Linked DNA regions of Bombyx mori. The protein of the gene in region 2 interacts with the protein of the main gene of each other region in a biochemical or structural test. Links are inferred from orthologs where the notes say so. Each region holds a gene or a part of one and is shown on either strand. Other genes may lie near its edges.

The links.
Region 1: the proteins of ubiquitin-conjugating enzyme E2 C (region 2) and RING-box protein 2 form a complex in vitro, tested with the Homo sapiens proteins (4 studies listed by BioGRID). The link is inferred for Bombyx mori from reciprocal best matches to the Homo sapiens genes UBE2C and RNF7.

The regions. Positions count from the first base shown.
Region 1 is NC_085111.1:9,082,512-9,089,033, reverse strand, and holds the start of RING-box protein 2, read right to left. Parts: upstream 3,721-6,522; 5' UTR 2,992-3,720; coding exon 2,838-2,991; intron 2,220-2,837; exon of another isoform or gene 984-2,219; coding exon of another isoform or gene 1-983. Other genes in the region: facilitated trehalose transporter Tret1, read left to right, coding at 1-983; uncharacterized protein LOC101738136, read right to left, coding at 4,679-4,815, 5,011-5,201. UniProt on the Homo sapiens protein: Catalytic component of multiple cullin-5-RING E3 ubiquitin-protein ligase complexes (ECS complexes), which mediate the ubiquitination and subsequent proteasomal degradation of target proteins.
Region 2 is NC_085126.1:12,141,925-12,148,185, reverse strand, and holds ubiquitin-conjugating enzyme E2 C, read left to right. Parts: upstream 1-2,687; 5' UTR 2,688-2,932; coding exon 2,933-3,033; intron 3,034-4,946; coding exon 4,947-5,376; 3' UTR 5,377-5,717; downstream 5,718-6,261. UniProt on the Homo sapiens protein: Accepts ubiquitin from the E1 complex and catalyzes its covalent attachment to other proteins. In vitro catalyzes 'Lys-11'- and 'Lys-48'-linked polyubiquitination.

The DNA of each region.
Region 1 (6,522 bases), on a different chromosome or scaffold from region 2:
GTAACATAGGTATCTTAATTTGTTACCTAGCTGGCACATATTTAGACTGGTCCGCGCTTGCATTTCTGGGTGCTGCTATGAACATTCCATTCTTTATTTTGATGTTCATTATCCCGGAGACACCCCGATGGTATATTTCGCATGGTCGCATGGAAGAAGCTCGAAAAGCACTACAATGGCTTAGAGGGAAAAATTGTGATATCGAGAGTGAAATTCGAGAGATTGCAGTTTCAGACGCAGAGGCTCAAGCCGATGATGCAAGCATACGAGATCTTTTTAGCATCAAATATACGAAGGCGATACTTATTTCTCTCGGTTTGATGGCTTTCCAACAGCTTTCTGGTATAAATGCCGTCATATTCTATACTGTGACAATATTTCAAATGTCAGGAAGTTCTGTGGACGAAAACCTTTCAGCAATTATTGTAGGAATCGTTAATTTCGCTTCCACTTTTGTCGCTACGGCGCTAATAGATAGAGCTGGACGAAAATTGTTATTATATATCTCTTCAGTGACCATGACTATTACTTTAATTATTTTGGGTACATTCTTCTATGTTAAATACCAAGCAAAATTAGATGTATCTGATTTGGGTTGGTTACCACTGACTACCGTTATGATATACTTGTTAGGATTCTCACTGGCTTTCGGGCCAATACCATGGTTAATGATGGGTGAAATTTTGCCAGCAAAGATTCGAGGTAGCGCTGCTTCAATCTGCACGGCATTTAACTGGCTATGTACATTTATTGTAACAAAAACATTTCAGAACATTGTTGATGCGATCAGCGCGGCGGGCACGTTTTGGCTCTTCGGGAGTATTTGTTTTGTAGGCTTATTCTTTGTTATTGTTTGCGTACCAGAAACGAGAGGCAAAAGCCTTGATCAAATTGAAAATAAAATAACCGGTAGAGAAGAGAAACCCAGAACTCGTCGACTAAGCTCGATAGCAAACATTAAGCCTTTGCCAAACGGATGCTAAGAAGATGTTTTAAGCATTTATTAATTGAATAAAATTAGCTTTAAAGTAGCAATTAATAACTTTTACTATATTCTTTTCACAATTTTTAGGCAGTAAAAACGTTGTGTAGAAAAAGATTTCTATAAAAAAATCTTATATCTAATAGTACAATGGTATCATACTTAGTTGTTGTAACTGGTTCTATTGGTAGGTAGACTTTACGAGGATTATAATTTATGACATGAATGCCAAAGTATTTTAGTAGTTTTTATTGGGAAATTATTACATTTAGTAACTATTTATAATGATTTTATTTTGTAGTTTGTATCATACACTACTTCATGTAAAATACTAAGCTTTTTGGCAATCTTATAACAGAGTTTAATCTATGCCGTAAAGTTAAAATCATAAGTTACTTATTTAGTTTGGTGGTAGGACCTCTTGTGAGTCCGCACGGGTAGGTACCACCGCCCCGCCTATTTCTGCCGTGAAGCAGTAATGCGTTTCGGTTTGAAGGGTGGGGCAGCCGTTGTGACTATACTGAGACCTTAGAACTATATCTCAAGGTGTGTGGCGCATCTACGTTGTAGATGTCTATGGGCTCCAGTAACCACTTAACATCAGGTGGGCTGTGAGCTCGTCCACACATCTAAGCAATAAAAAAAAAAAAAAATAGTTACTTATATTAGTTGTAATAAAAAATGTTTTTTTTAAACTTTAATATGAAAATAAATGGTAAGATCTAAAGAATAAATTTCACTTAATGGAAAGAGAGTCACATCCTTAAATTATAATTCGAACCATTACAATTCACAGAATCATTACATTGAAGGCACTGTACTAATCTCTTTTAATCGAATTGTGCCTATGAATAGAGTTATATGTACCTGCAATTTCAAATTTTAGAACTAACTAAGAAAACAATAGTTAACTATTATTTTTACGAAACAAGGGGGGCCAGACCACATGGAATCTATATTGTACAGCTTTCAAACATATTGATTTGTCGGTCCAATGACTATTATTATTTATTTGTTTAATTTGACAAGCACACATATTGATATGAATTGTAAGTGTAACTATGTTTCCATTCATGAAAGTTAGTAAACAGTTCAAGTTAAGAGGAGACATATTGGTAATGTTCAAAAGTATATAGCCCACCCAGAACCAGGACATGACCCAGGACCTAGGTGTTATTATGTTATATTATGTTGTATTAAGAGAGAATTATTAGAATTAAAGAAAGTATGATCAATCGATTCTGCTTTTACTACGGCAAAATAATATTTATGTTTAAGTCAGTATTCTTTACAATTCTTTAACAGATTGATGGATTAATAAACAGGATTATTTCAATGTAATATAATGAAATTTAAACTAAAATGCCTTAATTATGGCCTTAAATTTAAAGCGTAATTAAATAGTTTGAGAATAATTCACACGCACACAACATTTTTAATTTTGAAAATCCAAATATATAACATTGATAGAACAATATTACTACTGTTTTGTTTAATATATTAGTAATTATATTCTATCCCTAAATAATGTAATCATTTTAAAAAAAGTAATGACTCTCAATGCTAATTGGCAACATTCATCTTAACTTAAAATAAAAATAAAATACTTTTAAGAAAACATACTTAGTGCTCAAAATCTAGTTCTAATTATGATCGGCACAGCACACTAAATATTACTTGTAATATGATTATAGTAGGGTAGTAATATTTTCTTTAATAGTTCTATATATTCTAATCTGGAAAATAACTGTCATCTTGTCCAAGCAATTAATTTGTTAAATAAATTTGACTCACTATCACTTTGATGAATATCTATGAATTGATTCATAAACAACATAAATAATTAAAAACTTACCCATTACTTGCACGCGGCAAATAGCGCAAGTATCACATTCAACATCCCAACTCCACATTGCAACAGCATTCCATTTTTTCAATGTGAACATTTTATCGGATTTTGGACCATCGTTATCCCCACGGTCCATACCATCACAGTCTTCACCGGACATAATGTATGCGTTTTAATGTTTATGGTAAATATTTAAGGTAACTATTGAAAATTAAATGCGTACATTTACAATGCTCGACTTGTTTACTATTTTTAAAAACATAATCAGGTGAGATTTTGAAGTGGCAGTGACAGCTTTGACAGACTGACTTTTCTAATTGTTGCGGTAAAAGGAAATAGCCTATACTGATAAAGATTTAATTTAAAGAGTAATCTTCGACGTAATGTTCGTATAAACTCTGAATTACATCCACGCAATTAATGAATGAATAATCATCCCATGAGTTTTTTAATCCGGGGAATATTGGCTTAAAGTTAACAAAAAGAAACTAGATGGCGTTGGTGGGTTAATTCATAACATTAGTGTAACAGCAACCGTAAACGTATTTTACAGATGTACCCTGTGCGTCAGTTGAACTGCATGACATATTGGACTGTTTAGGACTGACTCGGAGGTACAGTACCTAGCGGCCTTGATTGTTGCGCCGAGGGTTATGTGTTAGATTCCCACATCGAGCAAACATTGCGTGATGAACAGTTTGTTTGCTCTTTGTTTGGGTGTTTATTATCTATATACATATGTATATATTTGAACGTATATAAGTATGTTAGTAGTCTCTGGTACCCGTAACACAGGGAATCCTAAATTGGGGCCGGATGACCGTGCTTAATTAAAAATAAAAAGGTTTAAAAAGCGTTAGATCAAATTTGATAAATAAATAGTCTAAATCGCAATACCTTCTTTTTTTTGCGCGTCGTAGGCAGAACGCCAGCCAGATGGTCAGATCTGGTTGGTGGTAGTCTATATCATGCGGTCCATGCCACCCATGATCAAACACTGTGGATGAAAATCACATGTGGTCGCGATCCTCAGCGGTGAGAGAACGATGAAAAAGAAGATGGAAATTAATTCCAATCGATTAATGTCTCATTTCGCTTCATATAATTTTTCATATTACGACACAATGTTATAAGATAACATTAATACAATACTTGGTTTACGATACGATAGCTTTACGATAGTTTGGCCTCAAATTTGAAAACGACCCAGATCGTCTTGTGGAATTTCACCCTGCCTATTTCTCTAACGAAGTAATAAACATAATAAGTGCATTATCTATGACGAAGTAGTAGGTAATGCCTTCCGGTTTCATGAATGGGGCCATTGATTTAGTGATGTGTTTGTACTTCGGTTCCGGTGGTAGATTCTGCGAAGCATAGTTCTTGCTACGGTCAGTGTTAGCACACTCAAGTTGAGCCCCGCGAGCTCACCTACCAAATAACTCAGAACTAATAACATATATAGAATAAAAAATAATACAAAGGCTATTTGTTACAGTAGATTTTATTTATAAAAAAACACGAAAATTGCTTAAAGTCTACGTTTATACTTAATGTATTATATATGGAAACTATATTTTGTATAAAATAAGTACAATAAACCCTGTTATATCTGGTTTTTATAATATGTATATATTATAATATTTAATGTTTTATACTCAATAGGCTCCGCCACGCTTTTTGTACAATCTTATTGTAAATTGGAAATCTTAAACTACACGTGTATGAAACAAAATACGATATTCAAAATGAACGATAACTTATAGATTTGTTTTGTGTTAAAAGTAGGTTGGTACTATTACTATCGGTAGGAAAAAATAACGCTTCTCCAAATTTAATACCCGCAGTTAGAATATTGCGAGATACAAAGAAGTCAGAATAATTGCGAGGCTGGCTCCTAGACTTGATGCTCCACTAAAACACCCCAGGTCTTCAATTTGGACTTGATATCTAATGTTGTATGGGAATCTGCATACCGAAGCATCTAGAATTAAAAAACAGTCCATTAGGAATGACCATTTCTTTATGTGAAATTTGTTAAAAAAGGTGTAAGAGGAAAAAACATATAATTTGAATGAATCTCTTATTAGTCAATACTTACTAGGTACTCAATTAAAAAGTGACATAACTATTATTAATATTAGTAAAATACCCATATAATTTTGGATGTAAATCATACCTGTGCAAATCGCGCTTGTGGCATCAACACCACCAGTTTCTGATTGTACGGAAATGTGTAGTGGTGGACATGATCCTATGGTCCAAAAACTGTCGCAAGCATTCTGCAGCCTTATTTCAATATTTCCGGTGGAAGCCAAATTCTCACAAGTTATTGCGCTTGGATCAAGTCCTACTATTGTTGTGTTGCGTCTGGAAGTCAAAGAATTTTTAAAGGCATCTCGAATAATACCATCCTTTTCCCGTGGCAACAGCGTTTTTAGACTATTTCTAAAGCGATCGTCTACTGGCATTTACTGGTGCAAGAACGAATTTGTGAGCCCGCACGATTTGGTACCACAATTACATTTACAAGTTTAATATTTACTTTTCTTTACGTCACAAAACTTTGTAAACGTAAGCAGAGTCTAGATAGGGTAGAATGGAAGGAATTGGCAAGCACTGTCCGTTGTTTTTTTAATGCTGAGTTTATCGTAATTAACCTGTGAACTGCGTTGTGTATCGTGATCTGTAAACTCTAAATACCAAGACCATTATTATTTTTTTGCCCGGATTCCTGCATTTACCCCAGAAGAGTGTCCAGGAGCGTCATAATATTGTCGGCCGCTCCTTTGAAATTTCTACTTAACTGTGAAGTTTAAGGGTATTACGATGGTCTCTCATAAGCTCTTAAAACCGGGTGGAGCATGAACTTGTTTGTCCATGTTTTGCAATTAAGAAAAAATTATAAAAATCTAAGGAATACTTAACTACGTTCACGGAATAACTGAATTAAAATATACATAGATACGTATGTTTATATGAGTTCTAAATTATATGTACTTAGTCTGGCCATAAATACTGTTACAATTAAAAATAAAAAAATATTACATTTGAATTTGGAATCTGTCGTTTTTATATGATTGCAATGCAATACATTGTACAATATTTTGCGATATTAAAATGGAGTGGGGTGATAAAGAGAACCGAATCGCTGTGATTGCATTACACATTACACAAAGTAGGTATGGAGCCAAATGCAATTTTTAAAACTCTCCATACGCTTGGTATTAGTAAAATGTTTGTGTACCGGGCTATTAATAGGTGCAATGAGATCTCCTCTGTTTGTGACAGAAAAAGATCTGGCCCTCCACGTAGTGTTCGTTCAAAAAAGGTGGTTAAAGCAGTAAGGGAAAGAATTCGAAGAAACCCTGTCCGAAAGCAAAAGATTTTATCTTGGGAGATGAAGATAGCACTAGAACCATGTCGCGTATTTTAAAAGATGACTTAGGATTTGCAGCCCATAAGAGACGTACTGGTCATTTCTTGACTGATAATTTAAAAGAGAATAGGGAGGTAAAATCGAAACAACTACTGAAGCGGTACGCAAAGGGAGGTCATAGAAAAATTTTGTTTACGGATGAGAAAATTTTTACAATTAAGCAACATTTTAACAAACAAAATGACCGTATTTATGCTCAAAGCTCTAAGAAAGCTTCCCATTTAGTCGACAGAGTGCTACGTGGGTACTATC
Region 2 (6,261 bases):
GTTGATTACAGAAATCAGTATTTTAAAGCCGTTGGTTTTTAAAGTAATTGAAATTAATGTTACACATAATCAGTAAGATGCTTAAGGAAAGAAAATAAGGAAAATAGCACTACTAGAAAACAGAAAGCAATTAACAAGACAGTATAGTACTTACTTGAATATTCATATTATCGTCAAACAGTGTGCCTGAATACAAAATTCTATTCAAAACTAAAAGTAATTACAGAGTATTGCATCTTAAATACTCTACAAAACTTTTATTTTTACTATTATTAAATAATTTCGTTCCAGATTTCCAATTTCACGCTCAAGTAGACATTAAATTCACCAATGAAAGTGAAAGTATCGCGCGTAATGATTTGTATAGGTAGCCTAACAACGCGATTATTTACGCATAGCATCAGCCCGCTGAGTTTCTGGCCGGTTCATTTCAGCCGATCGCGATTTCGATACTGTTTTACATGCATTCGCATCTGTCTTTGAGATGCTAGGTCACCTTCTGACTCTTTCTCTTTAAACTTTACCCCTCTTTGTTGAGGCCGTGCTCAGCCACCTATTCTGATGAGGTTGAAAGGCCTTTGGGCCAATAGCAATACTCAACCCCTTAAAAAAATTTACTCACTATTTAAGAAAATTGTTAAGACGAAATCGCCACAACAGTAACGCTACACCACCAGGCAATCGATGGCAGTAGAAATTATCAAAATGTATTTCACGACATCCCGTCGATGGCGAAGATAAACTGCTTTTTTTCCTACCTAGCTGAGAGCCTTGAGAGGCTATTTCAGCGTAACCTTAACTAGTAGGTGAGCTCACGGGGCTCAAACCAGACGACGTTGCTAACAAGAACCCTAGCAAGAGCCGTGCTTCGCAGAATCTGCCACCGGATCGGAAACGCGACCCATTGAAAAGATCTGGTAAGAAACTCAGTGGGCTATGTCTGAGGGTTCATTTACTCGTTGAGCCCTTCGTCGCAAGCGAAGGGTGCGACAATTACCGATGCTTGAGGTACCTAAAAGCACCGTTAGTGGATCGGTAGGCAGCGGCTTGGCTCTGCCTCTGGCATTGCTGAAGTCCATGGGCGACGGTAACCACTCACCATCAGGTGGGCCGTATGCTCGTCTGCCTACAAGGGCAATAAAAAAAAAAAAAAAAAAAATCCGAAATGACGTGTTTGGGGCGACGTCGACTGCTTTCCATTCTTTCCGCAGGATCGGGAATGTAGTTACCGGCGGCCACGATGAGAGGGTTCTCATGTCCTGCCGCTTTATCGAAGTGGATTAGACTGCGATTTCTAGGCAACCAATGAGTTTCAAAGTTCTTTGCAAAGAATTTGTTGACTAGTTGAGTAATTACCCTAATTACGGTAACATGCTGTTCTAGTTAAACTCGCGGTCTTCCCGATCTTCGTAAGAAGTCTTTAAAGTCTCATGCAATTATTATATTTTAGCCTGCAATGAAGACGAGCGTAACAGCAAGGTGGTGACAGTCGCCAGTGTCTACTACACGATCAGATTCGCAAACCCCTGAGAATATTATGCTTGAAACTCGGCACAGCCGCGGCCTGAAGTTATAGGCCACCTAAATCTCATGCCGAACTCTTCGACGAGCTCAACGAGCATCTACAGTTAATTGCCATTATTTATATTAAGACAATGTGTTAATTTTTAAACATAGAAAGCGAAAGATATAGAGATTTGTATAATAATATAGTTAATAAATACTAATCTAATTATAAGTTTACATTTATTCGTTGGTTAGTCGTCGCTCAAGCTAACCATTAACTGAAGTTAGTATAATTTAAGTCTAGCTGTAGCCATGGGCTTTGAGTAGCTCCTTCACTTTGAAGTAGAAACTCACTTTCCCACCAAAATATGAATAAACAAAAACGCGCCATGTTGTTCGGATTACCGCCTCCACTACAGATATTTTTGTACTTTATAGTTGGAGGAATTCACAGCTCACTCAAAACCCATAAGCACCCGACGTGAATGCCACTCTACCCAGCTTGGAATACTTACAATTGTGTTGTAGAGTTGCTATCCCATTTCAAACCAAGACACATCATGACTTAAATAGCTAGGGATTATCATGACTCAAATAGCAGGTAGCTATCCGTGCAGGCTCACTCTCTACGTACCAGTAATTACGAAGACTAGGTAATGATAAAATGAAATGAGATATGTAATTAATAAGATGAAATAATAAAATGTTTCAAAATGAAATTGTCTAGTAAACTAATCGAATATTACTCTGGCTAATCTTAATTTTTCATTTGGACATATTTATCTAAACTTAAACAGAACAAACAAACAGAACTAAAAAAATCAATACCTACCTAATCGCCTCTTTTATTCTAGTAATCCTATTTAAAATAGCATACAGGTACTATTACATTTAAAATGCGCAAACAATTTTTTAACTTTATCGGGCACATTGTATTAGGCAAAAATTAATACGTTTAAAATTTCATCGTCACATAAAAAGTACTAGGCCAAATTTAAAAAAGCGGGTAAATGAAATCTAAATTTTGAAAGCGATTATCATTTTGAAATTATTTGTGACATGAAATTATTTTATCCACATGTTATAGTATATTCGGATAATCTTATGTTTAAAACTATAATGTTCAGTTATTTATCTTGATTTGACCTATTTAACATATTTATTATGGTTTATTTCAGACCACCTTCTAACATATTCGAGATTAGTGTAAATCAGCATTAAATTATTTTTTCAATTGACCGTGTAGATGGCGCTTTTTAATACGTCAATCAAACAAAGGCCGCCATTACATTGCACTGTCAAATAACGAGATTACCAATAAAATCGTAGCTATTTCAAATTCAACAGGAAGTTGACGACGATTAACTGAAAAATTGGTGTCCCTTGCTATTTTAAGAAAGTGTTCATTTGATTTCCTTAAAATATTATGGCTCAAAACATCAATCCACATTACGCGTCGTCTTCGAACCCAGCTAAGCAGAGTGAAGACACGATTAAACTAAAAGACAATCATGCTGTGAGCAAACGGTGAGTTTTATTATTTTTACCACAACTTTTTCGTAATACCACGGCAAACACCCACGTAGACAACATACAATACAATTAGACTTGCGCAAAACATCACTTCCCAATGTAATGTGATATGACATCACTTTTACAGATAGGTGATATTACTCGAAAACATTACACATCACTCTTAACATTACTCGGTGCGTTCAAAGTGATGTGTATAAACACATCACTTAGGTAATGATTCGGGTGTATAGATACAATGTATTCGTCGTCACAGTATCTATTGAACGCACCGAGTAATGTTAAGAGTGATGTGTAATGTTTTCATCAATCATTACCTAAGTGATGTGTATAAACACATCACTTAGGTAATGATTCGGGTGTGTCATTACAATAGTGTATTACAATACAAAGTATGAACTTTGTATTGTAATACACTGTTATATTACTTGACAGATTGACTTACTTAATAATATAATAATTTTATTTTTTACTTAATATAATTTATTGTGGGATGAACGGATTTCATATGGCGACTTAGACTGCAAATTGAGCTCGACAATAATGTTAATATACGAGAGCAGTAGATGCATTGTTTCGGTGCGATATCCTCAAAAATATCCTCAAAAATCCAAGGAGGACTGTACTTTCATCTAAATGAACGTACGTCTAAACGCCGTTATTTCTTTCACTTATTAAACACGCATTAAAACAAATAATAAAACTATCTTCAAACAAGTGCTTAAGTAATTCAAATCAAACACAAAAATTAATATGAAATATTACTAAACAATTACGAGCGACTAGCGATTTTACAAAAGTTGCGAATAAAAAATTAAGTAAGTACTTGCGGGGAGCTACCGGCTGGCCGCATGAAAAATATAAACACAAATACCTATATTAAAATTCAGACGTACCATAGGTATAAAAATGTACCTAGCGGCCAGGACATATGGTTCAAAATCACTAGGAATAATTCCGTGTCGCTTGCTCATTTATTTTGCGTCGATCGGTCTGTCTCGCTCGCTCGGTTCCGTTCGTGTATTACACGACAAAGAAAGAAACATGTTGGGTGATAGTGTGATGTTTGTTTCCTTCGCGTAATGTGTGATGTTGCATTACATCGTAGAGTAATATTACCCGAGTAATATCACTCGCATTACTTACACATGTCTAAATACAATATATTTTGGTCCTTAGTATCGAAGTAGCGATTTGTGTCTAACGGTTTTTTTCCCACGAAAAAGTCTCGATTATTCTGTTCACTTGCATTATTGTTGGTTTGGGCTGTTTTAAGCACATTATGTAAATGATCATTTAGTGCATGTAATACAAAAGCGCCGAAAAAGTAAAAACCAAATAAAACTATTACACTTTACATAATGTGGTAAATTTAAAAGCACAGTTTTTAGCAGGTATAGGCATTCTCATTGGTTAAAGCGATAATTTTACAATAATTAATGTTCAGTAGGTAGGAATAAGTAAACTTTTTAAAAAGGTTTGTTAATTAGTCACCTTTTCTACATTAAATAGCATCAAGAGCCTTAGACCTTTAGACGCTTTCTAATTTGTGAGATTCTTAAATGTAAATTGTTTATATAGAATTACTTCTCTAGAACAATTACTACCATGTGAATGAATATACCTCCACCCAGAAAATATTGCAAGTGATATAAAATTTACACTCACACTACAACATCAGTCATTCCACATATGGCAGCATCCTATTTACCAAACAATAATTCTGCAAAAACAGAAATTTTATGTCATTACTGGTCAACTAACATTTCATTAGAAATGTTTCAAAGACTCACTACTTAATTAATAAACCTGCTATTAGATTAATGCACTTAAAAAAAACACTATATGCCATTACTTTTGTGTTATAATTTGCATAATTCAACTCATTTTATATTTCTTTTTAATAGACTCCAGAAAGAGCTAATGGAGCTAATGCGGTGCAGTGATAAAGGAATATCAGCATTCCCTGAAAGTGAAAACCTCTTCAAATGGATCGGGACCATCAATGGACCTTTAGAAACTGTATACGCAGGCCACAAATACAAATTATCACTTGAATTTCCAAATTCATACCCGTACGCACCACCTGTTGTCAAATTTATGACTCCGTGTTTTCATCCAAATGTTGACACGTGTGGTTTAATATGTTTAGATATTTTAAAAGATAAGTGGACGGCTTTATATGATGTACGTACAGTATTGTTGTCAATCCAAAGTCTTTTAGCAGAACCAAATACACAAAGCCCTTTAAACCAGCAAGCATCATATCTATGGCCGAACCAAGCTGCCTATAAAAAATATTTAGATGAATTTTACAATAAACATAAAGACTCATAGTCTGTTTTAGAGATTATAAGTGTGTTTTATTTTTCGTTGTAATATTTTTGTGTCGTGGATATTTCAGATTGTGACTGTTGAGGGTTGGTTGGGCTCAGGTTTTGTCTGCTTAGACACTGCAGTCTTGCAAAAAAACTTAATTTTAGACCATACTTTGTAATTTATATTAAAATTTGTAAAATACACTACGGTTGAAATAAATTAATATCACAACTAGACTTGCATGTAACATTCAATTTTTCAATTATTTTTTTTGTGACAAATAATCAGCCCCAGCTGTCGTTCATCTGAAACTTGATGTACATTGTGATCACAGACAATTATAATTATTTAGTGCAATTGAGACATGCTTTCATTTCTCCTTCCATCCTATCACATGTTTTATGCTTTATTTGTTGAAGGGTCGGGAAATTTAAAATAACAACTTGATGTCTTGGTGGGTGGCGGCATAAACGTAACGATATCTATGAGCTCTGATAATCAGTTAGCATCACTCAGTGACCATGTTCACCCACCTAAACATTAACAAGGTTAAATAATAAAAAGGAAAAAAATCGTACGCCTCTGCTAACATAATATATTTCATCAGTTCTGCTACAACTAACGGGCTTCTATCGTTTTCATTTTTACGCCTCCGGTAATCTGTCCCCACGACCAGAAGAACCCCACTTTGGTCGCCGCGTGCGTAGTCTGCATTTGAGAAAACGTTCACACCACTGGCTATCGAGTCTTTTTTTTATTGCTTAGATAGGTGGACTTAAATGCCTTAGTGCTATTATGAAAATCAGGTGATCGTCTTGCGACGTGCCAATGTTGATGGCATTGAGGCATATTTAATGCGTCGACAGCTTCGGTGGTGCGGTCATGTATCACGCATGGCGGAGG